Coturnix japonica: one gene and its partner. Each later gene encodes a partner of the first gene's protein in a complex. Links are inferred from orthologs where the notes say so. Each region holds a gene or a part of one and is shown on either strand. Other genes may lie near its edges. The genes, in order: GTF2B and GTF2H3.

What was found.
Region 2: GTF2B (region 1) and GTF2H3 share a complex: the UniProt entries of both Homo sapiens proteins name them as parts of the TFIID-containing RNA polymerase II pre-initiation complex. The link is inferred for Coturnix japonica from reciprocal best matches to the Homo sapiens genes GTF2B and GTF2H3.

What each region holds. Positions count from the first base shown.
Region 1 is NC_029523.1:13,176,589-13,192,408, reverse strand, and holds the start of GTF2B (transcription initiation factor IIB), read right to left. Parts: upstream 10,004-15,820; 5' UTR 9,892-10,003; coding exon 9,875-9,891; intron 8,139-9,874; coding exon 8,032-8,138; intron 580-8,031; coding exon 446-579; intron 1-445. Other genes in the region: KYAT3 (kynurenine--oxoglutarate transaminase 3), read right to left, coding at 11,543-11,605, 13,028-13,114, 13,505-13,578, 14,045-14,231, 14,547-14,636, 15,511-15,587. UniProt on the Homo sapiens protein: General transcription factor that plays a role in transcription initiation by RNA polymerase II (Pol II). Involved in the pre-initiation complex (PIC) formation and Pol II recruitment at promoter DNA.
Region 2 is NC_029530.1:4,198,676-4,214,419, forward strand, and holds GTF2H3 (general transcription factor IIH subunit 3), read right to left. Parts: upstream 7,509-15,744; coding exon 7,412-7,508; intron 7,271-7,411; coding exon 7,191-7,270; intron 6,827-7,190; coding exon 6,720-6,826; intron 6,406-6,719; coding exon 6,242-6,405; intron 6,002-6,241; coding exon 5,939-6,001; intron 5,704-5,938; coding exon 5,674-5,703; intron 5,362-5,673; coding exon 5,333-5,361; intron 5,249-5,332; coding exon 5,174-5,248; intron 4,733-5,173; coding exon 4,679-4,732; intron 4,376-4,678; coding exon 4,307-4,375; intron 4,202-4,306; coding exon 4,066-4,201; intron 3,986-4,065; coding exon 3,949-3,985; intron 3,869-3,948; coding exon 3,799-3,868; 3' UTR 2,839-3,798; downstream 1-2,838. Other genes in the region: TCTN2 (tectonic-2), read right to left, coding at 18-153, 394-532, 762-958, 1,196-1,296, 1,523-1,718, 2,016-2,089, 2,368-2,481, 2,661-2,739; EIF2B1 (translation initiation factor eIF-2B subunit alpha), read left to right, coding at 7,480-7,519, 7,592-7,693, 7,777-7,913, 7,982-8,098, 8,597-8,709, 8,899-8,967, 9,556-9,631, 9,775-9,900 and 1 more; ATP-dependent RNA helicase DDX55, read right to left, coding at 11,064-11,213, 11,682-11,974, 12,237-12,405, 12,577-12,691, 13,191-13,283, 13,411-13,542, 13,894-13,976, 14,347-14,536 and 3 more. UniProt on the Homo sapiens protein: Component of the general transcription and DNA repair factor IIH (TFIIH) core complex, which is involved in general and transcription-coupled nucleotide excision repair (NER) of damaged DNA and, when complexed to CAK, in RNA transcription by RNA polymerase II.

The DNA of each region.
Region 1 (15,820 bases):
TGTGACATAGCTGTATCACAAAACTTCAAGCCAAACATACACTGAATACTTTCTTCTGGAATACTTACACCATAGAAGGATTCTATACTTAGTGTTTCCACATAATATTCACTGAGAGAGCAGGCACAACACGCATGCAGCTCTCCACGTCTCCAATATTAATCTGATCTAGACATTATTACAAAAAAGCTGGTTCATGTTGCAAATCAAGGAGTGGCAACTAACCCAGCAACACTGCAAACTTTCGTCTTGTCACAAAGTTCAGTCCTTTCCTGCTGTCAGCCAGAAACAGACACATTTTACAGATTACTGAAATGCAAGAGTTCAAGTTTTGACTAAATCTCTTTGTAAATGCATTCTCTGAATAGTTTCCCTATGGACACACAAATACGTAGCAGACACAAAAACGTTCAAGCTTAGTAACATTTAATATTTCATATTTTACCTTTCCAATCATTGTACTCAGGTCACCGTCACTCAACAAAGGATTCTGGGTATCCCCAACTCGAGATGGGTCTTTTGTTGCTTTATCATTGCTGAAAGTTCTCCACTCCGACCCTACATCTATGACACGATCACCTGTGGTTACAGAAAGCAACAGTTTGTATCAACATAACATTTGGAAACAGCTTCTGAAACATGGTTACACAGCCCAGGTCTCAGTTATAAAATGCAGGCTGTTACCAAGTGCCAGCAGGATGTAACTGCAGGTCAACACACCAAAATTATTAGGTTTTTCAATCTAAGTAGAAAGCAATAACAGGAGCTGCGGAGAAAGTTTAAATAAACATACCCAGAAAACAGAATTGTGGCCATCCTTAAAGAATATCACAGGTTATTCAATACACAAAGGAGCTCACAGTTGTCCAGTGAACATTGTCAGTGACAAACAAACAAGTAAGTTACCTTTGACACTTGACAGAAGTACTCCTGAATTAGCTATCAAGCATTATCTCATCAAGCAGTAGCACATCACTTTTGTGAATGAGCTCCAGGCTCAGAAACGAACCTTCTAAACCACCATGACAACATTCTGCAGCTCTGTTTTGTTCCTGACCCTTAAGAAAAAGGCTTTTCTTGGGAGTCCTCTCAAATTCACCTAAATGTTTCCAGCAGCATCTATTCAAACTGAGAAATATCTCTAACCCACATAAATACAGGCAAAAAAAATCTGGAGTAATCACAATGATTCAAATAATGATTGAAAAAAGAGTTCTGCTTGTAGTGCAGCTCATTCTATTCACAGGGCTGGTAAAAGCAGCACCTCAAAGGTGTTGTCTCCAGAGCAATACCACAGAGTTTTTAGGAACATGTAGAGAAAAGCATCAAGAAAAAAAAGCATTACAGTTCTGTGCAGAATATCAGAACCAGTTCAATCGTCACTTCTGCTTTGCTAAACCTGAGGGAAAATTCATTATCTTTATCAAAGTTTAAGTGTTGTGAAGGCAACATTCACCAAAATAAATAGTACTGACAGCAAGAAAGATTGCTGGCACAGAAGTCCAAGTATGAAACAAGAGAGGCAAGTTTAACCTAGTAAAAATGTAAGCAGACAGACAAAAGTACTCCCTAGCAAACAATGATAACATGCAATTTGAATCTCGAAAAAAAAATACAGGAGCAACACACAGAGTGTCACTGCAAAATTACTTGTGGAAAAGAATCTGAATGGGGAACTTCACTCTTAACACACGATGATGCAAGGAATGTGCCTGAAACTGAAAGGTGTAAATGAATCCAAGAAATCAGGCCAACCTAAAAAGAATACATTTAAGACAGAAGTAATCTCACTAGTATTCATCCGACATGCTCATAGCTATGCTCCCCGTTCATTTAATGCTCTAATGAAAACTGAGGTAGCAGAGGTGGAAGTAACAAAAGTTAGAAGACTAAGAACACCACAAAGTAAAAGAGAGCACAGATCTATTCTTCCTGCTAGAGGCTCATGTCTTGTGAGCCTTCATTAGCAGACAGCATGCTCCTCTGGCTCCTGGACTCTCTGTAAATATTTGATTCAGTAATGCACCTTCTATGGTCTAGCAGTGACTTTACTTTAAGACAACCCCCCAGTACTGTTTACAGCATCTAAAAAAAGCAAAATGTACTTAAAATTCTGGCATGGTATAAATAGAACACTGAACACAGGGCAATGATGTAATATTTTTTCCACACAAGTAGGAATGACCTCAATGACTCACTCACGGATCTGCCTCTTGTGAGTTATGAACCATTCCTGCTCTAACAAAAAAGTGTTATATCACTGCCTGCTTTGGCAAACATTACAAACAGAGAATTGAGTCTGCTATTTCAGAGTGAGAAAGGATTAAGTAGAACAAATCTTTGAATATAAAGCATTTGTGGAATTAAGATGCAGTGTGTAAACACCTTCGTGTTGCCAAGAAATCTGCTATTGCAAGAAAACAGCTTTCCTGGATATTCTTTACTTACAGACATTCAAGGAATCACATTCCACCTTGCAAAAGCCTTGCATAGAAGCCTGACACAAGCTAGAAATAACAACAAAACTGGAACAAATAGGCCAAATGTTTCCATAGATGGAAAATATTCAACTACAAGCAGCTAATTATCCTGTCCCACACACAAAAGAAAGCATGACACTAAGTACTCTTTTAACCTTTAAAAACATAAAAACCACTTTGGAACTGTTGCCTTGGTATGTATGTAATAAAGCCCCACATGTAAGTGACAGAAACAAAACCTTAAACACCAAGGTCAGTTTTACAAGAGCAGTGCAACACAACAGCACTCAGAGAATCAGCTTTGAAGACTGGTTGCTAATTTCAAGCTCTGAAACGCATTTCCTGGCTCATACCCTACTGATGTGCTCTCCTAAATCACCAGGAAAATGCACCTGAGTGGCAAACAGCAGAGTAACAAAAGCTCCCAAAAAGTACTATCTAAAACCTTCAGAACAGAAGACCTCAGACCAGTTACTTTTCTAACCTAATTTATCTAAGCAAGTGCTCCAGAAATGTAGGAGTAAACTCAGCTCAGTATAAAAAATTAAAATGCAATTTTCAACAGTTTTTAGTAATTAGCTTAGCACGTCTATTAAACACTAATACTGCATGTTTATTTCACCCCAAAAATAGAAAGCAGTTTATCAAAGGAACACACTCCTACTTGACAAGTTCTGCATTCACAATTACATATTTTCGGAGAAATAATAGCAGCTACTTTAGCAGCACATCCTCTTGAAATACTCATGATACATGAGCCCCTTATTCTCTATTTGCATTTTTATTATCTCTTATATTAAAAATACATATATGTTTATATATATATACACACACACACATATATATACACACACACAGCTGTGAACTGAGGAGGTTTAATCAAAACAAATAGCATGGAATTCAAGCCTCAAATAACATTATCTTTCATATTCAGTCCTGAAGCATTTTCAAGATGATGTGGCTTAAATCATTGTAAGAGGAGCCGTAATGGTAGATGTACACCGAATCAAGCTCTGCATATGAACAACTAATATTATAATCTCAAAATAAACAGCAAAATAATGTTTATTCACAATTTAAAATACCGAACACCCACAGTTTCTAACAATGTTTGGCTCATTCTGACCATTAGTTAATGAATCTGCTGCCATCTAGTGAGCACATACATGGAAACACTTCTTAGAACACCACATTTAAAAACCTAAATAAAATTCTACTTAATTTCAGCCAGCTCCTTATTACAGAAAGTAGTGAGGAGCTAAGACAAATTACAGTGAAAAATCCAGGCAGAAGACTACAAGCCAAGGAGAATTGTGAAGACATAACTGCACAGAACCAGGCTGAGCTGAGCCTTCCTTCAAAACTAAACACTCTCCATTCACTCATATTGAGAATACACCTGCCCATACAACACTTTTGTCACGTTCTGCTGCACTTGCTCCAACAAGGCTGAGCATTCCTTGTACTGAGGAGCCTGGAGTTGGACACAGTACTCCAGGTGTGTACACTCCTCCACAATCAGTTTATTTGCTTACTGTCAATGATTTGGGGCCAATGTGGCCCACTTCTATGAGTAACAGTGTGAAGAGACCCACAGACACATGCCCTGGGAAAGAAGGAAAGAAAAGGGGGAAAAGTAGGAAGATAGGGCTAAAAACTGAACAGCAGCAAAGAACTAAGGGAGAAAACCAATTAAATAAGAATGATATCAGAATGAGAGGTAATATAATACAATATCGCTAGAATGGAAGCTAATAAATCAAATAAAATTAGAGTGTCCAAAAACTGAAGGCCTTACTCTAATGCTGAGGTGAGACAGCTAGGAAGCACACACCACAGAGACGAGCAGTAAAAGAAGGGGACAGTCTTGTGACTTGTGAGCAGTTTTATCTTTCCCTCTAAATGGAAAATGGAAACGGAACAGTGAAAGTCTTCTGGGAGATGTAGTTCTCCTCTTCTGAGAACCAGGTACCTGAGAATATCAACAATCCATGGAACTGGAGCATTAACTCTTTAACTCCCAGTGCACTACGTGATGTTATGATGTGGAACACTGATAACAAAAATCATAAAACCGTGACACTTATTGTATTGCCCAACACAGTTATACTCAACTTCATTTCTGTTTTCAGCAAGCAAAATTACTTTCCTTGAGCTCCACCATATAACATCTCAATAAACCTAGTATATTTAAGTCAACAAAGAATACCTGTTGAGAATAAACAAATTAAACCCAAAATAACTTTACAGTCACAACTTCCTCTACACAGCATCCACAGAGCCTTAGATTAGGCACACGATCTTTTGAATAGTTTCAGATATCAACACCGTACCATCAGCCAACATCCCCCAAATATTCAATACCTCAGAGTGTAGATTCACATACCATTTAGATTAATTGAAGTATGCTTCATATTGGCTCTGAACCATCTTTGGTTCCCAGTCTAGAACCTACATACTCTAAAACCTTCCACATCCTTTAGGAAATATCATGCTAAGAATAGTGATGCAAAGCCTTGCCAAAACTGCCACAGCTTCTGCTCCTGGTGTCTCAGCAAAGACTAAATGGTGACAGTCATGTCATGGCTGCATGACTCAGTACTCACACCAACACTCAGACTAATGGATGGACAACATGACGTTTACCACAGCTTTATGAGATTTGGGAATCAGGCATCCTCAGCAATGCACATCCAAAAGACAAATACAGGCATTTGTTGAACTTTATGCTGTTTCCAGCAGATACGGAACTGAAATGGGTCAGACTTAAGACAGAGACTGTTTGGAATGCTGACTGAAAAAGGCTAATGAATGACTCTTACAACAAATTACCTGTGTAAACTCAGCACCCAGGAACACTCACACCTTCAACCACTCACAGTTTCTGCGAGCATAAGCATATCTTATAATTAGCCTTTCCATGGATGCAAAGAATCTTACTTGCAAGCACAAGAAATATTAGCCAATTAAATAATGCAGCAACTTTGTAACAGCCACATCTCCGACCACAAACTATGGAATGCCTTCCCAAAAACTCTGAGCAGGTTTACAGGAGATGGAACAACCATCTGCATGTCGTTCATAACCTTATCCTGGTCTCCTGTTGTCTCAGTCTTTTTCTGTTGCCTTTCCCCTCCTTTTCAGCTACAAAACTTCTAAATGCAATGTCAGCCATAATACTAATGACATTGATTTCATCACACAGTCCCAGAAAAGATAACTGTTAAACTTTGGAATCAATGTATCAGCTACTTTAACCACCAACATACACAAGGGAAAAAGGGGAAGGGGGGGGGAGGAAAAAAAAAAAAATAAAAAAATAAAAATAAAAAAAATAAAAATAAAAATAAAAATAAAAATAAAAATAAAAATAAAAATAAAAATAAAAAAATCAACAGCTTTTCCTCCAAATATGTTCAAAATCTGCTCAGTTTTAGTACTCTGCCACAGATCATGTGGAAATACACTCAGCTTTGTCACAAATTCTTGGATCTCATTTCAATCATATTGAACAAAATACTGGCCAAATCACACCACTACAAACTTCACAGCAGCAGAACACACCCACACTCAGCATTTACCATTCTGCCACTCTGGGACACAAGCGATGCTCTGCAGACACCAAAACCACTGTATTTTTAAATGGCACTGTGACAGTAATTTGGCTACAGAGTTCACAGCCGTGCAGTTTCTTCTACTATTCTAATGGATCCCCTTGAGTGGTAAAAATCTCATCAAATTTCATCCCACCCCAAAACAAATGATGAGCGGGACTCGCACAGCTGCACCTGTGTAAGCTTAGAGAAATCAGAATGCAAATCTGCGACTTCACTGTGTAGAAAGAAGTGAAATCACCACTGTCTTAAACGGAACATAACTCAATTACTGAAGCATGGCAAAACCAAATGAGAACAATCAGCACAACAGTAAGCATTAGAATATTCTAGCGATAAATCCACGCGACAACCTGCTTAAAGAATAAAAAGCAAAGCACATTTTACCCTAGCAGTAACATTGGCTCTAAAGAAGACTAAGTTCAGTGTAAACACATCTTGAAATTACACTGTGAAAGTCTGAACTAATGTCCAAGGGATTCTGTTCAGAAAGGCTGAGCACTCCAACTAATGAAATCTGCAAAGCTACTGATTCAGAAGAGACCAGAAAGTAAAGCTCTAACAGAAGAGCAGCTTGTGACTATATAAGATTCATGAAAGTGAATCTGATAACTCCCAAGTTCCTAAAGATGAAACACGCAAGCAAAGCTTTCTCCCCCTCCTCTGAGCTGTTAAAAGTCTGGGACTGATCAAGGCTGACCTTCCTAAACTTCAGTTCAACTCCCAGAGCAGTTATGCAAAGAGTTGACACTGACCAAGTTATTTCAAACAGCAGCCGAGGAGCTTGATACTGTACAATAAGAGGAAACATTGCTGTAGCTGTTCACATTTTCAGCCAGCAGATTTGTCACAATTCATTTATCTTTATCAGAAAGTACACACCTTAAATCAGACCTTCTTTGACAAAGCAAGTAACAGTGGGTGCTTTTCAGCCCTTTGTAAGGTTTCATCCTTTTAAACAAATCTGCTACCAGTTTTCTACCAAATTTTGTTTCCAACTGATACCAAAATTTCCAAAATATTTTAGAAAATAACTTTAATAAAGTATGTGGAAGTTTGCTTCCTGCATCAAAAAATGTGCAGTCACCTGGATAAGCCAGCACTGCACCTTTTGCAACCCACTCCACCTTCAGCTTTATGCTAACAGCTGGACAAAATCCAGGTAAAGCCAATGTAAAATCATTACTGCCCATGAGAGAGGGCAATGCTATCCGAAACATTTACTGCTATTTAATTAATCATCTGAACATTCACATTCAAAATAGAGTATTTCCTTTTAGTCACAACACAGCTGAACAAAATGAATAGAAATAAATGAGGTTTCAAGAACGAAAAAGCTTTCTCTCAAAAAGATGCATGAAAAAGAACACACCTCTGGAGAAGAGATCAGCAACATTCAGGAGAAATTTGGTATTTATTTTGGGTAGTATTAAAAGACTTGGGAGAAGTAATTAACAAAAGCAATATTGGAAGGATACAGAGAATCATCCTTCAGGGCAGAAAATAACCTCCAGCCAGTGGGAAACAAGAGTTGTTCTGGCTTTATTTATCATGAAGCTATTTGCCTAAGGGCTTTTATTGCATTTTTTTTTTCTTTACTAACTGACATAACAGTCGTGGTTAAAGGCAGAATACTGGATTAGGCGACATACCATTCTAATTCAATATTACAAAGTATTTCAAGATTTCAAACTCTAAAACATGTTTCTTTATTTTTTCCATAATACACGAAGTTACCAGAAGAAAGGCCACTACAAATAGTAAGCGTTTAGCAAAGAGATCATTATACCATAACACACTTAGGTATCAAGACAAAAAACTAAAGACTCAAACCACATTCCCATTTTGTGGGGGGAAAAAAAGCACAAAAACCCAAACAGATCAACATGCGTAATTTAAGTTACACAGTAATTCACAGCGATATGAAATCCACTTACCTACTACTAGCCCACACTCTGAACAAATCATATCACCAGCTCTGTAATCCTCCACTAAAATGGAATCTGGATGGTTTGGGCAAGTCACTCTTGGAAGAGCATCCAAACTACAAAGAAAGAAAAAAGAATTGTTATTATCTTTATTAAGGAGAGCACATATCTCAAAGTATCAGTTCACTGCTGAAAAGAACGATTTACAGTGATTTGAAGGACTGATTATTAACCAAAAACACCTGAATATCTTAAAATCTAAAACTTTTGCAGCTTATCTCAGAAACATAAAAAGCTCCAATAAGAACATCCAAAACTTAAATACAGACAAGCTAAGTGTAGCCCACCTCGCAGTCTTATCAAACCAATATAATTCATCAGGTCCTCAATTCAGGGAGGGCACACGTTTGTTTGAGAATATATAATTCTGTCACCTTTTCAAGGGTTAGAAAAAAAACATTCCATCCTTAAGTCAGGCTAAAACTAGATCACGTAAATTAAACAATTCATTAGTATAGATCATAATGGAGAAACTACCAACTCAGGAGAGGGATCGGGTAACAAGTGCTTCTGAGAACCAGGAACCTCTTGTACATCACACATCTCCAGCAGCTACAAAAAACCTCCAGTAAAGCCTTGTCATTATTTAACATGTGCATATACCCAACAGCACTAAAGCAGAGCAACGATCAATTGCTTCTCACAGAACACTGTAACAGTAAATAAACTATCTAAACCAGCAGCGACTGTCCAGTAACTCCACTAAAACAATTTTGTTTCAAGGCTGAAGTTACTGACACTTAATGTTTGAGGTTTCATATTCAACAGAGCCATTCAATGGAGCTGAAAAAGCAGCAGGTATGGCAGCCGATCACAGTAAAATAAAACAATGCTAGTACTTCTCAACCTAAATGTGGCAGCACCACAAGCACCTGCTAATCCTTCAAACAGGAAACCAGTCTATTAAAGAGCTGAATTCATCCCAGTCCCCTCCTTTCCCACCAGCCCAGCACTGCAGCTTAATCTACACAGAGCCTCCTCAATCTTCATGTTTTAGATATACCACAAGCGTCAACTGGAAATAAACATCCTATTCTAAACCGATGGCTGCTCAGAAGCACCTGTACGATAAGAATCACCAACAGCCTCCACGACCCCTGCACACAACGCGTCCACGCGCGACCTTCGGATGCGAATCCCGCTGGGTATCAGCCGCTCTCGCTCCCGGCCCTTCCTCCCTCGCCGCCCCGGCGGCTTCACGTGGCAGACACAAGTGTTGACAAAGCGAGGAGGGCGCCCAGCTGACATTTGGCGTTACGCAAAACGCCAGCGACACGCGGAGAGAAAAGAAAGAAGGGGGGGAGGTGGTAAATCAAACGAAGAAGCTCCAAAGCAAGCACTCTGTCGCAGACTTCTCCTTCACAAATGACCACACGACAACCGTTTGTTCTACCCAAGTTTTAATTAAGCGATGTAGGCGCCCGCTCAGCGCTGTGGTAACTGAGCGCCGCGGAGGCGTCGCGGGCCCTGAGCTCACGGCTCTGCCTCACAGCAGCCGGCAGACCGACCGACCGACCGACCGCCACACGGCGCCGCCCGCACGGAGAAGCCCCCGCTGCCTTCCCCCACACAACCAGGCGGCTTAATAACCCCACAAGCCGGGACAGAACAGCGAGCCGAGGCAGGGGCAGCGCCGAGCCGGGGCCGGTTCCTCCCCGGGCGGCAGCGAAGGCCGATGCGGCCATTTTCTCTGCCGGTCCGCAGACGCGGAGAGATGGCGGAAGCCGCGCCGTGCGCTGCGCTGTGGAACTGCTCCTCACGGGCCCCTGCGGACCAGCCGAGCTCCCCTTACCGGCTCGTGGACGCCATGTCGCTCGCTCCTGAGGCAGCGGCTGTGCGCGGTCGGGCGGCAGCTCGGAGCGCCGCCTTATGTAGTGGCCGCGAGGGGCGGAGCCGCCGGCAGCTCGCGACGGGTCGCGCGGAGGGACAGGAGGAGCCTGAGAGCGCGGCACGAGCCGGGGACGGACGGGAGGCAGCAGCGCCTGCAACAGCTGCGCCACATCAGCACTGCAAGTCAAAGCACGCTGCAGTTCTCACATTAGCAATGCCATCAATGCCATTCCAGCCATTCAATGGGATATTCAACTGCATTTGTAAACACAGCAGTACGTTAATAAGTCATCAGAGCTTGTTTGTCAAGTGGTCCTTTGTTTATTTCCCCACTAAAATATCAGATAACAGTCAAATGCAATTGTACGTGTATTACTTGTAATGACCTCTTCAAAATAGCAAATAACCATTTTTGTGGGGCGATCTGGAGAATGACAGTGCAAGGCAGCTGAAAAGACCCAGCTACTGGGCTACTGACAAAGCAGCCTAACAGATCACTTCACAGTCTGATACAGTTCTTTTTGTCCTTGTCCAGAGCCACAAACTGACGGGATTCAGCTGGATTGCAGCTCTCTAACCACAGAATAAGTAAAACAGTTGCAGATCTAGCAATAGAATTTGTTCAGGCTTTCCAGCATAAGGTCTATGGGATGAATAACAAACAAACATGAAAAAACACAATGCATTTAAAAGGTTACCTACCTGGACTGTGTTTGCTAGTGGGAAACCTATCCAGAAATTAAAAGATTGCACAGAGAGGAGGCAGCAATGAAGGAATTCCCCACATTTATCTCATTTGAACCTGTCCTTTATCCACTGAGCTTGGAATAGTCAAATTTGAACTCCATAGTATCACAGAATTAAAGCACAGTATGAGGCCCATCTCCATGTAACCCCTGATCTTAAGTGTATAAAATAAGATTGTTATGAAGTTACCAATGGCTTTTGTGAACACAAAAAGAGATTACAGGATTAATTCACATGATGGAGATCACTCTATAGCAAGTCCTTTTATTTTGCTTTGCAGATTCATGTAGTAAACAAAAAGGTAGAAATAAAAGAAATCCTATTCTAAATGCCACTTACATAATTGTATTGAGAACTGAACACCTTCAGAAGAGCACAAGACCAAACACTGCTTATCCCTTTAGATCTTGCCTGTATAAACACACAATTGATTTAACTCAATCATTTTAGCTAAACTGATGAAATCTGTGCATGGACAGAGTAGACAGGTACATAGTAAAAGGCACTGTGATTATCTTCTCTGAGACATATAGTAATTTTTTTCCACCTCCTAACAAAAAAACTTAAAACACCTACAATTATTTATTTCCCAGTCCAAGAACTCTTTGTGTTTCAATAAGACAAAGACTTGTGAATCCCACAGATTATTTTTTAAAGGAAAAAAGTGAATGATTTTGAAAAGAATGAAAATAACCTCCGAGTTGCATTACAAATATCAGCAAGCCGTTGTTTTAACTCCTCAGCAGGTGGCAGTACAAAGTTATTTACAATGTCGTATTAATCCTGTACTGTATTAAGTAATTTGTTCTTCAGTTTGCAGTAAAAGCCCCAGTGTAAGAATTATGCCAGACAGAAGACTTAACTAAGAGAAAAATAAAATAAATCAAGCTCTCTGCTTCTTCCAGTTCTTCAGGATCACTTCAGCTGCATCCAGAGTGCTGTCTTTCTGCAAAACAAGGAGTATCACTATTATTCCAAGTATGAATTCTTGAAAACAGTAGTAGTCATATTTAATATGATCATCATATTTAATATGATCCCAAATCAATATTTGGCAGTGTCACTTGCAACCTCTTAATATCCCAGCTGCTCACATTGTCATTAGCAGTCACAGCTACAAATCTATGCAATACACAAAAAATCTGATTCCTTGCAAATATTTATTAGATATGTTTGTAACAAAAAAAAAATCACGTTTTTTCTCAGTATTATCAAATTTAATTAAATTGGGTAGTCCTTATGTAAATATTTGGCATTTACACAGTGACGCACTTGGCTGCTCTATACTGGACACTTGTTGGCATAGTTTCCTAATCTTTATGTGTATAGAAGGGGTGTATAAAACTTCATGCAACCGAGCTATACTGTCTACTTAAACATAAACCCTCTGAATATGAGTAACCCACTGGTCAGTTGTATGGCTTGGCTACAACATGATGAATCATACAGGTGGGGTTTACATTGTGATTAGTGCTGTTCATCTGCAAGCTACATTAACTATCAGCAAGTTTCATTCTGGTTGTTACTGGCTCCATTTGTATCACTGTCTTTATACCTCATCCTAAGAGCTATGATAATATAAGCAGAAACTCCCATTCCTCACTGGTCCAAGCTAAGGTACAGATTCTTATACTAAAAGAGTTGTCACATTTCATTATGTTGATTCTGTGACAGAGCAATAGGAAAAACATCCTACAGCACTCAGATGACCAAAGATTATGTATGTACATGTCCCCACACACAGATTCAACAACTGAGTGAAACACAGGGAAGAACGTGTGAAAAAATCAGGTGCTCACAAAATCACAAATGTTATCTAATTCATTATTTCTCTCTTCTCAAAAAAAAAAAACAGATGAGATTCCTTCCCATGTCTTTGCTTTCTTTTATAGCTGCAAGCTCTTTGTATTTTCAGGTGAGCTAAACTTCAAGCCAACTTACTATTCTTGTTGCCGGAAACTGAACAGACATGCAGCATTTCATGTATATCATGCATCATGTAATATCATTACATGGGAATTATTCCTTGTTCTGGTTATAGGATTCACTTTAAGTGATAGCATACCCATCTCATACATTGTCAGTGTCACCACTGGTCAATAATGCTTTTACAAATCAACAAATTATCTTTTAAAAAAGGAAAGATCTAACCACCCAGTTGTCAGCTTTGTCATCCTTATTTCTGGTTTCAAGTCCCTCAGCAAAAAAGACAAAGCAACTTCTTGCTTAATTCTACACCAAACTGATTTTCTGTTTCTAAAATCACCCAATTCAGACTGGGGAGGGGGGGAATTGTAGCAGTTGTATGTTCCACTTTTAATGCCACATTGACTTTTGAGCTTTGAGTCTTCACGGGACACAAATTTACCTTAATGAAGCAAAAACGTATATATTTCTCAAATTGCCTTTTTGTCTCGGGCCCACAGAACGCTGAAAGAGGAATCGCTGAGAGTTTCTGAAGAATTAAACAGAAATATTATTATACATATATATACTGAAAACAGTTCTAAGCATGATTTTCTAAAATTCTTCCAACTTCAAGGGAAATACAATGCTGAATTTTGTTTTGGCTGACTAGGTTTAAATAAATTCACATTACTTTTCTTAAACAAAACATTTCAAAGGTGTTTTTCTACAACCAGTACTTAAGCAGAGAAAGAACAAGTGCTGGAGCTTAACACAAACCTATGAAACACATTACTGGCATGCTTAGCAATATTTAAGCCACATCATTTCCAGAAGATAGCATGAATACTAAACAATGTTTTGAATAAGCATGGTTGCACTGCTTTGGATTTCAGTAGAAAAGCATTTCTAAAACTAGAGTATAACTAGGACATCTCACCTTAGATGATATCATCCATCGGACAAATTTATAATCATAAGGTTGATTCTCATCTGCATCAGAAAGATCCACATCTAAGAGAAAGAAATTGTATGATTTTCCAGACTCCAGTGGGAAGGCATTCACCAACAGCACTACACTTAATACTTCAGAATAAAGACATATACTTTCATTAAAGAAATATAATTCAAATTATACTGAAACAGCTAACAAGTAGAGGAGATTAAGCCAAATGCTTGGCTCTCAAATCTTTTCATCATCATAGACTTTTAAGAAATAGACTATTCTTTTTTAATCCACAACCACCGCCCTACCAAAACTTTGCCAAAGCTTTGCAAAACAAGGACAGTTGTTACAATTGCAAACATTTTCCTTCAAGCTTATAAAATCCACCTCCAGGCTAAAGTCAAATAGAAAATTTAATTCCCAATTAGTATTTCTGACAGTGTTACGTGAACAAGAAAGGAGAAGATGGTTCAAAATAAAAGTAGTATTTTTGTATTTCTATATCCTAATTATCATTATTATTTTTAAACTTACTTAATGTAGAAACATCAACAATCATGAAATATCCTCCTTCTGGAACGATAGGTGTCAGCCCAACTTCTTGAAGTAGCTGAGCCATCCGATCACGCTTGCTTTCCAGCTCTCGAGGCAGTGAGTAGAAATAGCAGTCTGGGTCATCCATGCGTTTATAGTCTACCCAAAGTGCTTGTGCCAAAGCCTCCTGGAAAGACAATGTTCAAAATACTTAAGGATACTCACACACTTCCTAATGAAATCATGAGGATTTTTCTTTGATTCTGTAGTAGGATCTGGCTCTTGTTAAGCAAATCAGCAAATAAGAACTACACAAACTATATCCAATAATGTAATTTGCTAACCCAAAGCACCAACTGCTTGAGAAGTATTAATCACATACAGAAGCTCTAGACATAAGAGTTTAACACATGAATTGAAGCTACGTTTAGTGAAAATATATAAAATATATATAAATACATAATACTAGAAAATAAACTTCTTTGTCTTTATCTATACCTACCTGCAATGGAGTTGGGCAAGTATATAGTGTATTTTGATGAACTACTTGCAAATGCTTAATCAGATTCTGGGGGCCAATAGACCAACCAAGCTACAGAAAAAACACACGCATATATTATACTTACAGCAAGAACATTACTTCAGATTAACAATGAATTAAAGAAAAACTTGAGACATTTTCTAACTTTAAGAATCAGTAGTTTGCTCTGAAAAAGAACTCAGAAAAGAGCAAGTTTTAACTAACTTTATAATGCATTTATGAGATAAGAATAACAGCTTCTCTTAACATGTCTCAAAGAATATGAAGTAAACTTTCAGTTCTTCATGGAATGAGTTAGAAATTAACCAGAGCCTTTACTAGGAATGATATTGCCAATTGTTTTAGGTTCATCTCATAGGCACCCATGTCAAAGGGTGGTTCAATTATAAAGCAAGAGCTCATTACTGGATCAAGCCTACTCTCAAACAGATGCAACTCAATTGTCATGGCTCATTCTGACCACAGGTGATGAAAAAGAAAGCATTTAGCTGTAAAATGGTTCTATATTTTATTTTCCAATATGTATTTTTAAATCAAGCAAAATATTATTATTTCATACCTTAATAGTATTGAAAGAGAAACCATTCCAAAAGGTATTATCTCAATTTGAAAACATAATCACCATCACAATACTGGAAAGTTAAAAGTATGATAGCAACTGAGTCTTCTCCAAGAGTTTTGACTGATTTTGAACAAATCATACTGTGTTTATTTATATATTTTTTCCTTATAAGAATTCATTACTCAAAAGATGAGAACAGACTGAAAACACAAGCGTTCAAGTAGATAGCTGTTCCAAATGAATGGTAGCTTCACTTTTTAGAGACACACAAATTTGCCAGAAACCTTCAAAGACAGGTAACAAAAATGGAGTGTGATAAATGCAACCTGTTATTTACTTAACTCTTCCACTGATTTTCCTTACCTTCCAACCAGTTACACTGTACGTTTTCCCAGCACTTCCTATAGTTATTGTTCTTTCCCACATACCTGGTAATGTAGCTGTATATAAAATAAAATTAATTGGGTACAGGTACATTCACATATTCCATGTAATTTGAAGAGCTGTACTGCTCCTATCTAAGAACTACAGTATGTTGATATATATTTGTAGTGAGAGTATTTGAAAACTACAGCAACTGTGACAAGTGAGAAAGAATATATGGACCAAAGATTTTGGCACAAAAATAAGATTTGGATTAACAAAAGATAAAAGATAGAAAATAAGGAGAAAC
Region 2 (15,744 bases), on another chromosome or scaffold:
AGGACTATGCGACATACCTCCTGTTCCACTGTTGATTTTCACATCATGGGACAGTCCTTCCTTGTAAGATGCTGCATCAGAAAGGCACCTCACGTCAAAGTCCTGCAGAAACGCTACAGGGGCATTTCCAGCACACTGCCCTGCCAGGGACGGCTGCAGGTAGTTGAACAGAAACGTATGTGAGCCTTAAAGGCAAGGAAGGGGAGGGGTGGGCAGGGGATGAGGAAAGATAATTATTGTTATTAACAATGATTTTGTGCTTGGTGAAAAATATATTCCACCAGTTCATAAGAGCAAGTTACAGAATCTGGTTACAAACACAAAAGAATGTGATAAATGGAGAACTTCAACTAGCCAAGAGGAATCAGAAGCTCCTAAATATGGAGCAATTACCTGAGGGATGGTAAAATACTCGTCATCTTCTGTCATAATTGGATCTCCTGCTCTGTAACCAGTGAACACTTTCCCAGGAGAAGCCTGTACAGGGATCCTAAATGGACGAACTCTGGGTGCAGAACTTCTGGGTGCAGAACTGCAAATAAGTTCAAAAATGAAACAATTCTTTACTCCTCACATTACATGGTGAATTAAATATCTGCCTTCCAGTCCCGTGCTCTCAAAGTACCAATTATATTTCTCCATTTACATTTAAAGTGATCGATTTATAATTTCAAAATAACTTTCACTGTAAAAAATACATGCTACAGTTTCAATGTAATGTCTAAATTGTGTATTGAGGAAAGAAATATTTTCAGACTTACACAGAGCCATCATAAAAATAGCCAAGAAATGGTGTATTGCTAAGAGAAGACTGTATGCAAAGGAAGGGAAACCAATCAGGAGTATATTCTGTTGTCTGTGTGGAGCACAGCTGATCAAAAGGTGGGTTTACATCCCCACCAAACACTCCAGTGAAACACGATCCATTGAATAACTGCTTCAAGTCTGGTGTACACTCCTGGAAGGGAAAAGAACACCTTAATGCCATAATTGCACCACCACGGCCTCTAGTGCTGTATTTGCAGATAACCAAGCCAGCCCTGTAGACAGATGTCATATTTACTATTAGAAATACCACAAAACCCAGGCAGACCCTATTTCTACTTTGAAATACTCAGTAATTCTCCCTCCAGACAACAGAAGGAACATAGAAATTCTAAAACCATTTCATCAAAGTTTAATATGAAATAAGTACCGGATCACAGCAACAACGAACATCACAAGCTCCATCTGTCAAGTCACAAGGACATGAGCCCAAGGGCTGAAACACCTGGTTAGGGATGACAGACATGATTTCTGTAAGAGAATTACAAGAAAAGAAGAGAAAATTCAGGTCATACAGACTGGAATCCCAAGAAGCAGACAACATGCATTACAGCCAATCCCACCTGCATATAAATCCTTAAATGCTAGAGAAATTTAATCTCTCATTGCTGTCCAATTCCCAATTTTACTTTTCTTTTTTCTGGTACAGAAAGGGGAAGTAAATACCATTTCTTCCTCAGGATATCCAAGTACTTACCTGACACATTTCCCATAAAGGAAGAGTTGGCATATATTTCAGCTTGAATTATGAGACGTGCCAGCATCGCCGAACCACTGCAAGCTAAAACCTGAACTGTTTCCACCACACAGAGAGGTGCTGTGCAGCAGTCGGTGGCATTGGGCAAACATAACTGGAGATTTCTAGTGAAGGTTACAGTCACTTTGGATGAACCCTGCAAAACACAAAATGATGGATTCAACAGCTTGTACCAAATTACTGTTCTTTGTATCATCACCTGCCGGGAAGCACAGGCAGTTCGGGAAAGGAGAAAGACAAGAAACCAGCATCAAAGCTGCACCTTAGCAACTTCCAACATGGGCATCCAGATGATGGGACATAACAAAGGCAAAAAGGGAAGGCACTCTAACTGAGCTGTCAGTAAACTAATATTACATTAGCACTTCATCAGCCTTTAATATATGATTGCTCAAGCTTTTCTATCTTAGGGCAGAAGCAGTGTTTTACATACCACACCAGCTGTTACACTCAATTCCCAGTCACCAGCTCTTTCATTTCCACCGCAGTTTGGAAGGAGCAAATTTCCTGTATCAAAATTAAAACATAACAAACACATATATATATTATTAATATATATTATATATATATATGTATGTTATCTGTTTCACTGTCACTTCAAACTTCTCATGTGGGAATGGGGCACCAGAGGGACCCTCCCAACTCCAACAGTTCTGTGATGATTCTTTGAACTGCACTGCAGTTATTTGGGTAATTGTAATGACAACAACAACAAAAAAAAGTTAAGAATTCAAATATATTTATTATTTTTCGAAATAGCGGGTAGATAAATAAAGTGTTCTTACCTGTCTCTTTATCGATAGCATCTAAAATAATGGAAAACGTAACTCCTGAAGAATCTCCAAGAAAAAACGAATTGACTCTTAGCCCAGACATGTGGATAAAGGAAGGCTGAAAAACTGGGGGGGAAGAGAAAGTTTAGAAAAGAATCACATTGTAACACAGAAACCCTCAAAGCGCCGCATCTGGGAGGCACACCAGGCCGAGCCCCCTCAGCCCGCACAGGCTGCTGCGGCCCTCTCCCCTCTCATCCCTTCCTTCCCCTTCTCTTCTCCTCCCCTCGCCCCCTCCCACACACCGGGCTGCCCCGCACACAGAGCCGCCAGCAGCAGCGCCCCGAGCCCGGCGGCCGCCATAGCGTCACTGAGCGCCGCCATCTTGAGGCGGCACTGCTGCCACGGCAACCAGGAGGGCGGGAATCACCCGCCGTGCCACAGACCGCCTCACAAACACCAACAGGCCGAACAGCATCCATGTCTGTAAAAAGAACTGCTTTTATTCCAAAAGGTGTTGTAAGAACAGAATTATAGATACAACTTGCAAACAAAGTGGCTCCTGGCGACGAGAACGGGAGCTGATGACAACAACCGCCCTGACCGAAGCCAGATGCACGCCTGGACATGGCACACATAGCTGCTACTCAAATACAAAACACACTGATCTGAAACCTTTCCAGTTTCAAAGCACAGCACTGAAGACTGACCACCTCATGGACATTTACTGATGTCATTTTACAGACATAAACCCCTTCTCACACATAAATGTGGTCTTCTGGTCAAAATTCCCCTGGGAAGGATACCTCCATATTACTGCTCCAGTTACTGAGGAGCAGCTATCCAAGAGAGCCAAAAAGCATAAAGAGAATAAAAACATATGACACAGTGCGTGTGCACGTGCCAAGGAATGAACACCCTCGACAGGAAGGTGTGTTCTAAGCAATCTTTAAACATTTGGCTTTCTTCTTCCGAAGCTGACCCCATTTCAGTGCCCAGACAGACACTGAAAGCTCACAGAACACTGAGGTCCTTCAATAGCGGTGCTGAGGTTCAGTCCCTACACATCAGCAGTGGTGACAGCTCACCTCTGCACCAACATGTGATTAAAAACAACCAAAACTTTATTGTCTTGGAAAATAACTTGGAAGTTTGAAGTTGCAGCAGCAAGAATGCTTCCAAATTTGCAAGACCTGCATCTTAACAACCTGTAACTTCTGGTTCTAATTACAATGAATAAACAGTATTTAAGACAGCACAGATTACCTGCTAACACAGTGATTTGTTACTACATAGAAAAAATGGCTTAAATACTTTAAGAAAAAAAGCAGTAAGACTGCATACAGTTCTCTTTCATATCCTGTAAAAAGTGTCAACAATTGTTCAAGTACATCCCCCTTCATGGAATAACAGGAGCAGTAACGGTGTGTTTAAGTTGCATCGTTAGACAGCTAACTTTAATTTCTTCTTCTTAGCTTTCATGACAGGCGGCAGTGATATTTTGAAGGCAGTCCTGAAATGACATAAAAAGGAACTGTCAGATACAACAAATGCATTCTCAGACCCACTCCTGAAATAAGAAGGAAAACTTACTCGCATGTACTGCAAATTGGACTGAAGTTGCAGAATACTGGAAAATAAAAGGATTGGCTGTCACTAATAATAGCTCATTTGACATGTAGGAAGTTCAACTCGTATTTATAAACTTACTTGACAAGCACACCGAGCATACATAACCAATCTCAATGAGATTTCGATGACAGAAACACGCTGCTCTGTAGTCAACATGAACGGGAGGTGGAAGCACAAGCTGTGATCTTTGCTCTTGATCAGGGAGAAATACCCACTATATAAACAGGGAAAAAAATAGTGTGGAAATGGCTGTATCATCGTGTCAGTGAAGTCAGTAAGATTTCACATCTGACACAGGAAAAAGCAAGTGAAGACATACCAACAAATACTGCAGGAGGGATGGCAGGTGGGGCACTTTAAGGTATATGCCGCCTGTAATGTCACAAGCCTGGAATGCAGAGAGAATGATCAGATAGCTCAGTCTTAACAGGAAGGCAATGGTTTCTACTAGCCAAGGAAGAAGAACAAAGCAATAATAATTTGTTACAGAATAGGAGGGTACAAAAAGACTGAGAAAAAGAGACAGTGTTTCACCAACATAAAATACCTAGGCCTTGTCTCATAGAAGGGTGTAATAATGTCTCTTTTTCTGGTTTGAAAAAGTTGAGAGTGCTTTAAAACACATCAAACTATCTAGCATCAAGTATCTATGAATTAAAGCAAACAGCAAGTAAGAATAGGAAGCTTGTACCTGTTGTAGAAGGCCTGAATCAGAGTCCAAGACACAAGCATCAATCAAAATACTCTGCAAGTAAAGAGACCCACAAAAAAAGGAGTTCAGCTAGGAACAATGTAACCTCATCCATGTTTTACAGCTGCAGGACCACCACAGCAATAAGAAAGCTCATTCCCTTTGTCAGAACAAACATCCAGAATTCTAACACCTCCCTTCTAATGTATGGCAATAAAAGAACTATCAGCAAAGGTATCCTGTACACAGCACCTGCAAGGCGGGACAGAAGGCTACCATCCGTTCTTTCACAGCAATCTCTTATTAGTCCAGCAAACCCTTCACGTTAAGATGTAGCAGTAGGATCTGACTTTTAACCTCGGTTACCTTTCACTCTTGGCATGACAGTCTTCACTCCAGGGATTCTTTAACCAGATCACAGCCATAATGTAAATGAACCATTTTTTTTCACTCTTTATATGCTAATAAAAGATAAGATATATCAAATAGCTTCACCTGTTTCTGTGCTGCAAAGATCACGTTCATGAAATTCATATATTGTAATGCACTGTCTTCTGCAGCTTTTATGACCTAAATAAAACAATAGAGACTTGTTAGCCCATATAGCATTGATGTATTTTAAGGCTAATAGTAGACTAACAACAAAGCTCTTACCAAAATCCTTGATTTCATTTCCTGATTGGCTGATTAGCAAAAAGAAAATAAAAGCACATGAGTACATCCATTCCCTATAGTTGTCCCTACAGTTCTACGATACCTGACATTTTAACTAAGGTAAATCCAATCAATCTAACATCCAAAATGACAGATCTAATGTCTCAGACAATGTGAATGTAAATACTGATAGTCCCAGTGGTATAGAAATACATGTAGAATTATCTGTAGAATAATTCAGACGTTACGAAAGCGGGCCTATGTCATTTATTGCCCCAAAGCAATTAGGTATATTAGGTATATAGGTTCAAATACTCGTGAAAGCACTCTAAAGGCATTACCTTTCACCTCTTTGCTCATCTTGTTAATATCTACATCAGACAACATCAAGGAATCCACACTCTGTTCATGGAAGCACCAGCAGCACCCATGCTATGTACTCACTACCTCAAACAACACACGTTGTTTGATCCACAATTATAAGGCAAATGTTTCAGTTTTGAAAATTATTATAGAATGCACTGATAGTCAAGACTGTATTGAAGGATAATTAGTATGACAAGAAACAGACAAAAGCCTTTAAAAGTTCTGCCATCAAAAGGATACAACAAAGTGCTTTGGCAAGAGACCCTGCTAGGAGAGTCTCTGTTTGCTGGCCCATCATGTCAGCTGCAAAGCAAATTACACAGATTACTCTGATACACAAAATCATTCACTCAGCCTGATCTCACTGAGTGCTACAGTTCAATCTTCGCCATGTTGAATCACTGCAGAGTCACCCAATATCAGCCATAAAAACTCACCTACTCTAAACATATTAAAATCCAAATGAACCAAAGAAATTCCTGCAACTCCCAGAGAACATTTTGCAGTTCTGTGTTATGAAACCCAGAATTTTTATTCCCTTACTTTTCGTCATGAGGTCTTTAATCTCTTCTGCAATTGCATCATTGATTGCAGTTAACAATTCATATTTTCCATCCTTGCTGCCAGAACAATTGGATTCCACGGAGTTACCACCATCTCCAAGGAGATCCGCAGAAGCCCAACGCTTCCCAGGGTACAAGAAACGGCTAAAAGAGAGGAAGAACAAAGTGTTACGGTTTGCTTTTCAGCCTGTAAGGAAGAAATGACATCAGCTGACCACTCATAGACAGCGATATTTTGAAGTAAAACTCCAAATAACTTTAATACTTCAGGCATTAAATAGGGTTCATAAGGCAGGAAATTGTTGTGACACAAATGGTTCACCTCCCTCCTTTCAATACGTTGATGCATTGACTCTGTCTTGCTTTCCATAAGGCATTAAAACAGACCATTTCTTTCTCTACCAGGAGGCAGGGAGTGGACAACACGTCACACTCATGGTGGTGAGCGGCTGCCGTACCTTTCCTGCGTGTGACTGGCCATCACGGCCAGTTTGTTGGTGCGGCTCATGAACAGGTGGGAGTTCCCCAGCACCATCGCTGCGTCCACACATTTCGACAGGGTGAACTGCCAAGGGAAAGAATAATTCAGCAGGACAGCACCTACAGGAACCAACCGCAGAACTGCACTCAGAACTAGAAGGTGCAGGGCTTCCTTTCTAACGGGAGGCATCAGCTGAGCAAAGCTCTGACAAATGCATAACTGTAGAACCAGAGAATCATTTGGAAGGGACCTTTAAAGGTCATGCAGTCCTATTGCCTGCAGTGCTCAGGGACACCCACAGCTCCATCAGTGCTCACAGCCCCATCCCCTGGCTGTGGGTGTCTGCAGGGATGAGGCACCTCCACCTCCCCGTGCACCCTGTGCCGGTTTGATGATACTTTTCACGTTTCCCACCGATGTTTCCTATAAAAGCGGCCCCGGGACGCACCTCAGCCTCCCCCTGCGCCCGCTTCCCCCACCAGATGGGGTTGGTGTCGATGACGATGACCAGCAGGCTCAGCTCCTCGTCTGCAAAACACACAGCGGGTCACTGCAGGGGGCCGGGAGCTGCCGGAGCCGCGGGGGCTGAGCTGAGCTGAGCTGAGCTGAGCTGGACTCGGCCCGGTTCATCCCCCCCCCGTCCCGACCCCCTCGGCCGGCTCCTCTCACCCGCTCCCATCCCGCCGCTGGTGTCGCCCGCTGGTGTCGTCATACCGCACATCATCGCATTGCGCCGCATGGCACCGAGCAGGGCGGGGGCAGCCATGAGCACGGACGGTAATGTGTCTCTATGGAGGGTGTTGTGGGGGCCGGGCTGAGCCGAGTGTGAGGCGGCTCTTTGCCTTTCAGACCTGATCGAGACCTTCAGGGCGCAGCTGAGGGATGACCCCGACGTCGCCTCGGCGGTGGCCGCCATCCGCGCGCTGCTGGGCTTCCTGCGGCAGGACCGAGGTGGGCGCCCATCCCCGGCGGCCGGACACGAAGCGATGTTGGCCCGGCCCCGATTGATCCCCCGCTGTGCCCTGTCTCCATAGGAGAGACCATCCAGGGCCTGCGGAGCAGCCTGCGCGATGCCATCGACACGCTGTCGCGGGTGGACTCGTCCGTGGCCGTCAACTCCGGCGGGGAGCTGTTCCTGCGCTTCATCAGCCTCACGTCGCTCGAGTACTCGGTAAGGAGCGGGCTCCTGCCGGCCCATCTGCTGCAGGGCAGCCGGCAGCAGCGCTGTGTCCTTTCCAGGACTACTCCAAGTGCAAAGAAATCATGATCGAGCGCGGGGAGATCTTCCTCAGGAAGGTTTCTCTGTCCAGGAACAAAATCGCCAAACTGTGTCATCCCTTCATCAGAGACGGAGCTGTAAGTACAACAAGGAGCTGTAAGTACAACAAGGGCTGCTCGTGTCCTGGCTCTGCTGCCTGCGCTGCTGGGAAAGCAGGGGGGTGGTGTTATTATTCCTGCCCATCTCACAGCGTGGCATCCTCTCCTAAAATCTGTAAATACGAGCAACATCATAGAATTATGGAGTCATTTCAGTTGGAAGAGACTCTTATACCTCATGTAGTCCCACTGCCTGCAGTGCTCAGGGACACCCACAGCTCCATCAGTGCTCACAGCCCCACCCCCTGACCATGGCTGTCTGCAGGGATGGGGCACCTCCACCTCTCTGGGCACCCTGTGCCAGTGCTTCACTACCATCATAACTAACTTCTTCCTTGTAACCCATCTAAATTGTCCCTCTTTTAGTTTGAGACCATAACACCAATGGACACTGACAGAAGTAAAAGCCCTGTTCATCCTAACTGAAATGAAGGTTTTAAAGCTCAGTAAGAAGTAACATTTAATCTCTTTTGACAGAGGATATTGACACACGCCTACTCACGAGTGGTCCTCAGGGTGCTAGAAGCAGCTGTTGAGTCAAAGAAGCGATTCAGCGTTTATGTTACTGAATCACAGCCAGACCAAGCAGGGCGAGTATTCATTAACTTGTGCTTCATCTTGGCTAAGAGGATAAACTACAGCCAGCATCAATTCTGTCATAACTTCAAAGCTGCTGGCCTTGTAGGAACATAGATAGTCATGGGTTTCATTCTTTCAGACATTGTTTTTCTATTATCATCTTTAAAGAAAGACTTTTAAGCTTCATTTTTATATAACAGGCAAAAAATGGCAAAAGCCCTGAGGAAACTGAACATTCCTGTGACTGTGATACTGGATGCTGCAGTTGGGTGAGTCTGATCATTAAATCTTAACGTTCATCCCAATTTTAACATTGTTCCATTTAAGTTCCATAGGAGGTTGTTCTAAACACAGGAATTGTTACTTCATTTGTCATAGTCATCAAACAAGCTGAACAAGTGACACTTTAGGTGCATGATTAACCAAATACGCCTGCTGCAGAACTTGTACCTTGATGTTTGCCTATAAGGTCTGACTCCATCAACCTATGCGTGGAGCCTGGGGATATGTGAAGGAGCTGCTGTACTAAAGAAAACTACTTTGATTTTTCTTTCTAAATGTTGTGTTTGTTTTCAATCTAAATGCTAAATTCTAGCATATTTTGCCATGTAATGACTACAGTTGATGGATTTCTCCCATCGCTTACACAGTTGTCAAGGTCAGACATGGCTTGTACCATTCCTGCTGAGCAAGCAGGCGAAAGCTCATTCCAAGGATGTCGAACAACACAGTCTTACTTAACTAACAGCAGCTAAAACTAGTTTAGAAAAGTGAGACTGTTGGAATTCCTTATCTCTGTTCTGTTCAATGAGTCACGTTATTTGCTAAGACTTGGATCTCTTCCCCTTCTTCAACAGCTACATTATGGAGAAAGTGGACTTGGTCTTAGTTGGTGCTGAAGGTGTAGTAGAAAGCGGAGGCATTATTAACAAGGTAAAAGAGAACGCATTGCATCAATCTGGAAACTCTATTCAAATATTCTTGGATATCAATCAGTGAAAGTCTATTATTGGAAACATGGCAATATTAAGTCATGCTAGCATGGAATCTGCACATTATTTTCTGTGTCTCCACAGATTGGCACCAATCAGATTGCTGTGTGTGCCAAAGCTCAGAACAAGCCGTTCTATGTGGTGGCAGAAAGTTTCAAGTTTGTAAGACTCTTCCCTCTAAACCAGCAGGATGTCCCAGATAAGTTTAAGGTAAGAGAAATACAGGTTGCTTCCTGGCAAACTAAGATCCACTTACTTGTTTGTGAGCAATTTTCTTCTAAGCACATCTTCATTTGTTTGGATCTCTCTACTGTAGTTAACTTGACACAGTACAGAGTTGGTCCATGTTCAAGTCAGACCTCCAACATCCACAATTTGTCCTAATACTCTTGTTGAGTTACCAAAGCAATTCCTTTGGGGCACGGGAGTAGCTGCAGGCAAGAAACAGCTACATCGAGACACTTCAGAACTATAAGTTGTATGGTGGATAGAAGGTAAAACACTCGAGACCAAGGTGGCAGCACATGCCTCATTTTAAAGCAGTTGACTTCCCTCCATTTTACCACAGATATCTGCTCAAGATTATAGCACTGCCCCAGCCCAAGAGAGATTTTAGCTCGCAGCTGTGTAATAATTAACGGTCTTGTTTCCTTCTAGTACAAAGCAGACACGCTGAAAACAAGTCAGAATCTAACAGAGGAACATCCCTGGATTGACTACACGTCACCATCACTTATCACGTTACTGTTTACAGACCTTGGTGTGTTAACTCCATCAGCTGTCAGCGACGAACTCATTAAACTGTATCTGTAACTCAATGGACATGGTGTGCAATGTGTACCATCCTCAGTGACTGTCACAGCTGTAAGAGCCTGGGAGGTGACACAAGTGGGGTGGACAAGGTGAGGAGGCAGCATTACAAGGATTCATGTCATTATCAACCTTCAGTTTAAGGCATTACCTGTGGATGAACCACTGTTTAGGAAAAAAAAATGGAAGTTGTTACAGCTTCTGAATTCCTTAAATGAATTATTGGAGAAGAGGGTCAAGTATTTTAGTACTGTAAAATAAAGTAACTTATGGTGCATTCAGCCTCATTCCATAACATGCTGTCATTCACTGATCTGTGAACAAAAAGCCCTGAAATAAATGCACCGAGGGAAAGCTGTAGCTCCAGCCAAATGACACAAGGGCAGTGCCTTTAGCTTTGTTCTCAACTGCAGTTCTTAACTATGCTTATGGAAACCAAGTTTCTTGATGAAGAAATTAAACCCATTCTGTTCTCTGCATCGTTATTTTGTTATAAAAATACAGTTTTATTGGAATAGGGAGTATCTTAATGTGAAAGCCCAGTTAGAATGAAACCTTCAGTCTCAGTCAGCAGCAGCTTCTCTGAATTTACTCTGGCTTCCTGTTAGTCTCTTCTCAAATTCTTCTTCACTAATTTTCCCCTTCTTTAATCTTTTCAAGAGTCTCGTGTCATTCAGCAACTCTTCCATGTCCTCATCTTCCATATCAGAGCCCTGTTAGCCATTGAAATACAACAGATTACACACGACACCAAAGGCTTCATCTCTAGACAGCTGAACACAACAGAATTTTACAACCTAGATTTTGCCAGCAGCATCCAAACAGGAAATTATACTCAAATTCTACCACCAATCTATCAAATTCACTTGTTGAAACACAAAAAAAAGCAACAACAAATAAGAACTATCCAGTGAAGTGCTGCTATATCCCCTACAATCCATGCAGCCTATGAACCTATGCTGGCAGCAATTCACCATCACCTGAGCGATGAGAAATTGTTGCAACATTTGGTTTTAAAAAGCTTTTTTTCCTATGCTTTGCCTGGCAGACGTAGAAGGCTTATTTTCAATAAGTAACCCTGCAGTGTGTCTCACTTCTGTCACACTAAAATCCCGTTGCTCCCTGACTTTTGCAAGTACATTTAGTAACAACACGCAGCTTAAGAGACTGGCATGGTTTACCTCTTCACGCTTCCTTTTAGCTGTTGCTTTCCTCTTCTTCTCCCTTTTGGCTTTCTGCTTTGACCAGGATTTGTTTTTTATGAATTTCTTTTTTCCTCCATTTTCTTCTCTTTCCTTTCTTTGTTGTTCAAGTTGCTTTTGTCTCTGCTTTTCTCTGTTTTTATCTTTAAATGGAATGGAGTCCGTATTAATAGTGACTGGAGTAAAATCTGGAAAACATTTTCCTCTTAGCTCAGGCATTTTCGGCATCTTTAACAAGGCGAAGCCTTTAGCAAGACTAGCAAAGTCCAGGTCTGTTGAGATAAAGATTATAAAGTCAGTTTCCTGCTGGATAAAAAGTGAACTTACAAAATTCCAGGCAAAAAAGATGATCCTGAAATTAGTATTTAATAGCAATGACAATATGAGGTCACATTTACACTTAGGTTTGCTTCAGTCAGACTTTGAGAACAGAAAGGAGCAGCTACAGACAGTAACATCACGGGGGCTTTTTGTCAAACTGAACATTATCTTCTGAAGAACAGTAAAAGATCCCCAGCTCCTGCTGGGAATTACCTTTAATTCGGAAGATCAGATTGCATTCATGTTTGGCGTAAGCCTGGATGTAAGAGACAAATGCTTTCATCCCCTTCTCAAACACTGCCCTGTCAGCGAGAGCCATAGACTTCAGTTTTGGAAGAAGATCTAACACGTTTCTCTGTGGTTTCATTTCCTGCATGGGACACTGAAAACCAACAAAGGAATACAAAAAGAAAGGCAAAGTTCAGCTGAATGATTTGAAACGTGCTCTGAAAATTCAAACACATTTCTTCTCCAGTTAATCTTCAGTAAGTTTTGGTCACCTTCTGGCTCCCCTGCCCTTTGCTGCGTAGGGTTAGAATAAAAGCCTACTGACCTTTTGATTGATTGAGAGAAAGTTAATATAAGATTCTTCCATGGGAAGCAAAAATACAAGTGCACTGCCAACATTTCCAATCCGTGCTGTTCGACCACAGCGATGCACAAAGGCACTGAAATAAAACAGGGATAATTTAAGGAGAGATGCCTGGTCTGACTTTAAAGCATTTGTGAGCAAAAAGGACAAATCTGACAGAATGGAAAACCTGGAGTATTTTCAAACTAAACTCATAATTCAGCTACAGGAAAATGATGACAATACAAGTAAAAATAAGTGGGAAACGCTCCCCTCATGTGAACTCTCAGTGTACCATCCTTAAATAGCTCCACCCCAGCTCTCTGCACTCATTCACACCCCTCAGCTTGTTACCCCCGTACTCTCACACTAACCCTTAGAATAGAAAGCCCCTTTGTGCAAGTGGCAACCACCTCTTTTACTTCTGCACATCAGGCCTACAAAGCCAATCAACTTCACATCACTTACAACTTTCTTGTTTGCAGGTAGCTCAGACTTCCAGACAACTTTGTGCTTTTTCCACAGCTGTGTGTTCCCCATTTATACCTAAACATTACAGTAGCACGAGCACAGGTTGGTGAGATCTGAAGTTGTACCTTGCACTGCTAGGAGGGTCATACTGTAAAACCCAGTGTACTTCTGGGATGTCAATGCCACGCGCCATCACATCAGTGCAAACTAAAATCCCACTAGGAAGAAGAGGAAAAAAAAGCATTTTTTCACTCAATTGTCATTTAAGGAAAGCACCCTGTCAGACACTATTAAATCTCTCTTACTGTTTGTGCTTTTGCCTGGAGTAACCTGCTTGGTTCTTACCCCGGGAGCCTTCGGAACTCAGTAAAAATCTTGTTGCGCTTGTGTTTCATTTTGCCATGAATGCACATAATTTTCACTTCTTTAATTAAGGATTCCAGCGCCTTCCCATAGTATTCCACACAGGCACACGTGCTGTTGTGATGAAGACAGAGAAGTAGAAGATTATACCATATATTTAACCCACCTAAGGCGGCCATGTCAGAACTGTCTGAGCCCTTTCAAGAATAGCAACTTGTCTATTTTCCCTTAAGGTATGCACATCACTTTTATGATTAACACAGCATCTATAATCTTTACTTCTATAGTGTTATAAAGTTCATGTTATCAGAATCCCGACATGAAGCAATGATCTCCTTCTATCCTCTTTCCATAAGACAGCTATTACAGTGAACCACATTTAATAGTTACGTCCTTATCAACACAGGTCAGCTTTGGAATTTAAGTAATAAAACTCCTCATTTTCACAATGAAACACAGAATTACCTGAAAAAGACCAGATGTTTTTCCTGCTTGTGCTGTCGAAGAAAATGCACCAACTGATTGAACTTTTCATCTGCTTTGCATATCTACATAATGCAAAAGAAGAACAATAAGTAAGAAAATGGACTTGATACAAACTGATCTGCCAGCTTCCTCCTCTCATTGCGCACCGATGTTTGGTCATGGAGGCAGAGCAGTGCAGCAGTTTGGGTCCTGGCAGGCCAAACAAAACAAAGAGCTGAGCTCATACAGCAAACAACTACAGTGTTCAGAATGAAGGGCAATTTCTCCTCAACGTGGTTGCCAATCTTCAGATAAGCTGCAAGAGCTTTACGTCTTAGAAACTTCTGGTTCCTGTGTTGAAGCGACTGTAAGTGGTCATAACTTATAACTTGTTGATGGAATCAGGGAAAAGGGAGAAAGAATCCCGAGTACCACCACACACAGAGCTCGTACCATATAATAGTTCTCCAGGCGGGTCGGAGTTTTCTGGGTGTTGGTTGCTGCCACTCCCTTCTCTTTCACCGAGATGCGGACAGGATTCCGGAGCCCAGCTCTCACCAGGTTCTCCACCTCTTGAGTCTGAGTGGCTGAGAACAGACCTGTCCGCCTCTGCTTGGGTAAAAAGGCCAGAATGGCATTTAAACTGCAAGTAAAAACATGCAAAACATAATTGCTCTATGCAGGCTATGGAGCAAAGAGGGGCAAAAGAACAATACAGTGTTCACTTAATGATAAATCCATTTAAAATTTCAGATGTATGAGAGTTTATTTTTTAAATACCTTGATTCAAAGCCCATATCGAGAAGCCTGTCAGCTTCATCTAACACCAACACATCAAGAGACTTCACGCAGCTTGCGAGATCCAGCCCATCTGCTTTCCTTCTGAACAGATCTTCCAGTCTGCCCGGTGTAGCTATAATGATGTTCCCTCTGTTTGCAACAAAGACACGGCCATTTTGTAACCATATCAGGTAAGGCCTTTGGTTGGAGCTGCTAACAATTACCACAGCACAAACCTGCTCTCAAAATGAATGTATTCTTCAACAGAAAAATGTCAGTGTGCTGCTTTCAAGTGTATTTATATTCCAGTGCCATTCAGACAGCATGCTGATGGCAGGAAGAATACCCCTGTGTGAAGGCTCTCCATTTGTGGTAATAACAGTATAGAAGATAATTAACAACTATCGAAAGCAACTATCAGCTAGAAGAAATATTGCATGCTTCTGTGCAAAAGCCAAAGGCAAATAAAATGGCTTCAAAGTTTCCCCGTGAGGATCAGCACCAGATTGTTCCAATTATTCAGCGCAGACTCAACCTCACTACAGTCCACTGCTGGTAGAAGATATACAAGAAGGAGCTGAAATACTCAGCCTTCAACTCGCCAGGCTGTACATTGCTCTTTAGCCAGACAGCAGAGAAACGGGACCAATTCCATACACAACCCTTGCTTCTTATCTAACTACAAATTCATCACGGTGCATTTTACTCCAGCAAAATGAAAACCACACTTTATTTAGCGTGCTCAACATATTTAGGCAGTATCATCAAATGTCAGCATCAGCAAAACAGAACAGAGCCATAATTTGAGTATCTTAATGACAAGGAAAACAAAACAACAAGACGGCATTGGAGCAATTACAGACAACCAACTTACCCGTGTTCCTTAAACTTTTCAACATCTTCCATGGGATTCCTACCACCAATCAAAAGAATCTGACTAAAACAACAGAACAGAAAGATTTAGGTCTTTCAATTTTGTGACCTTATGGACGACAGAAGTCCAAAGAAAAAGGAACCGTGGTCATGAAAAGCTTCACGTTCACTCACCTGAACTTGGGGAAGTGTTTTGTG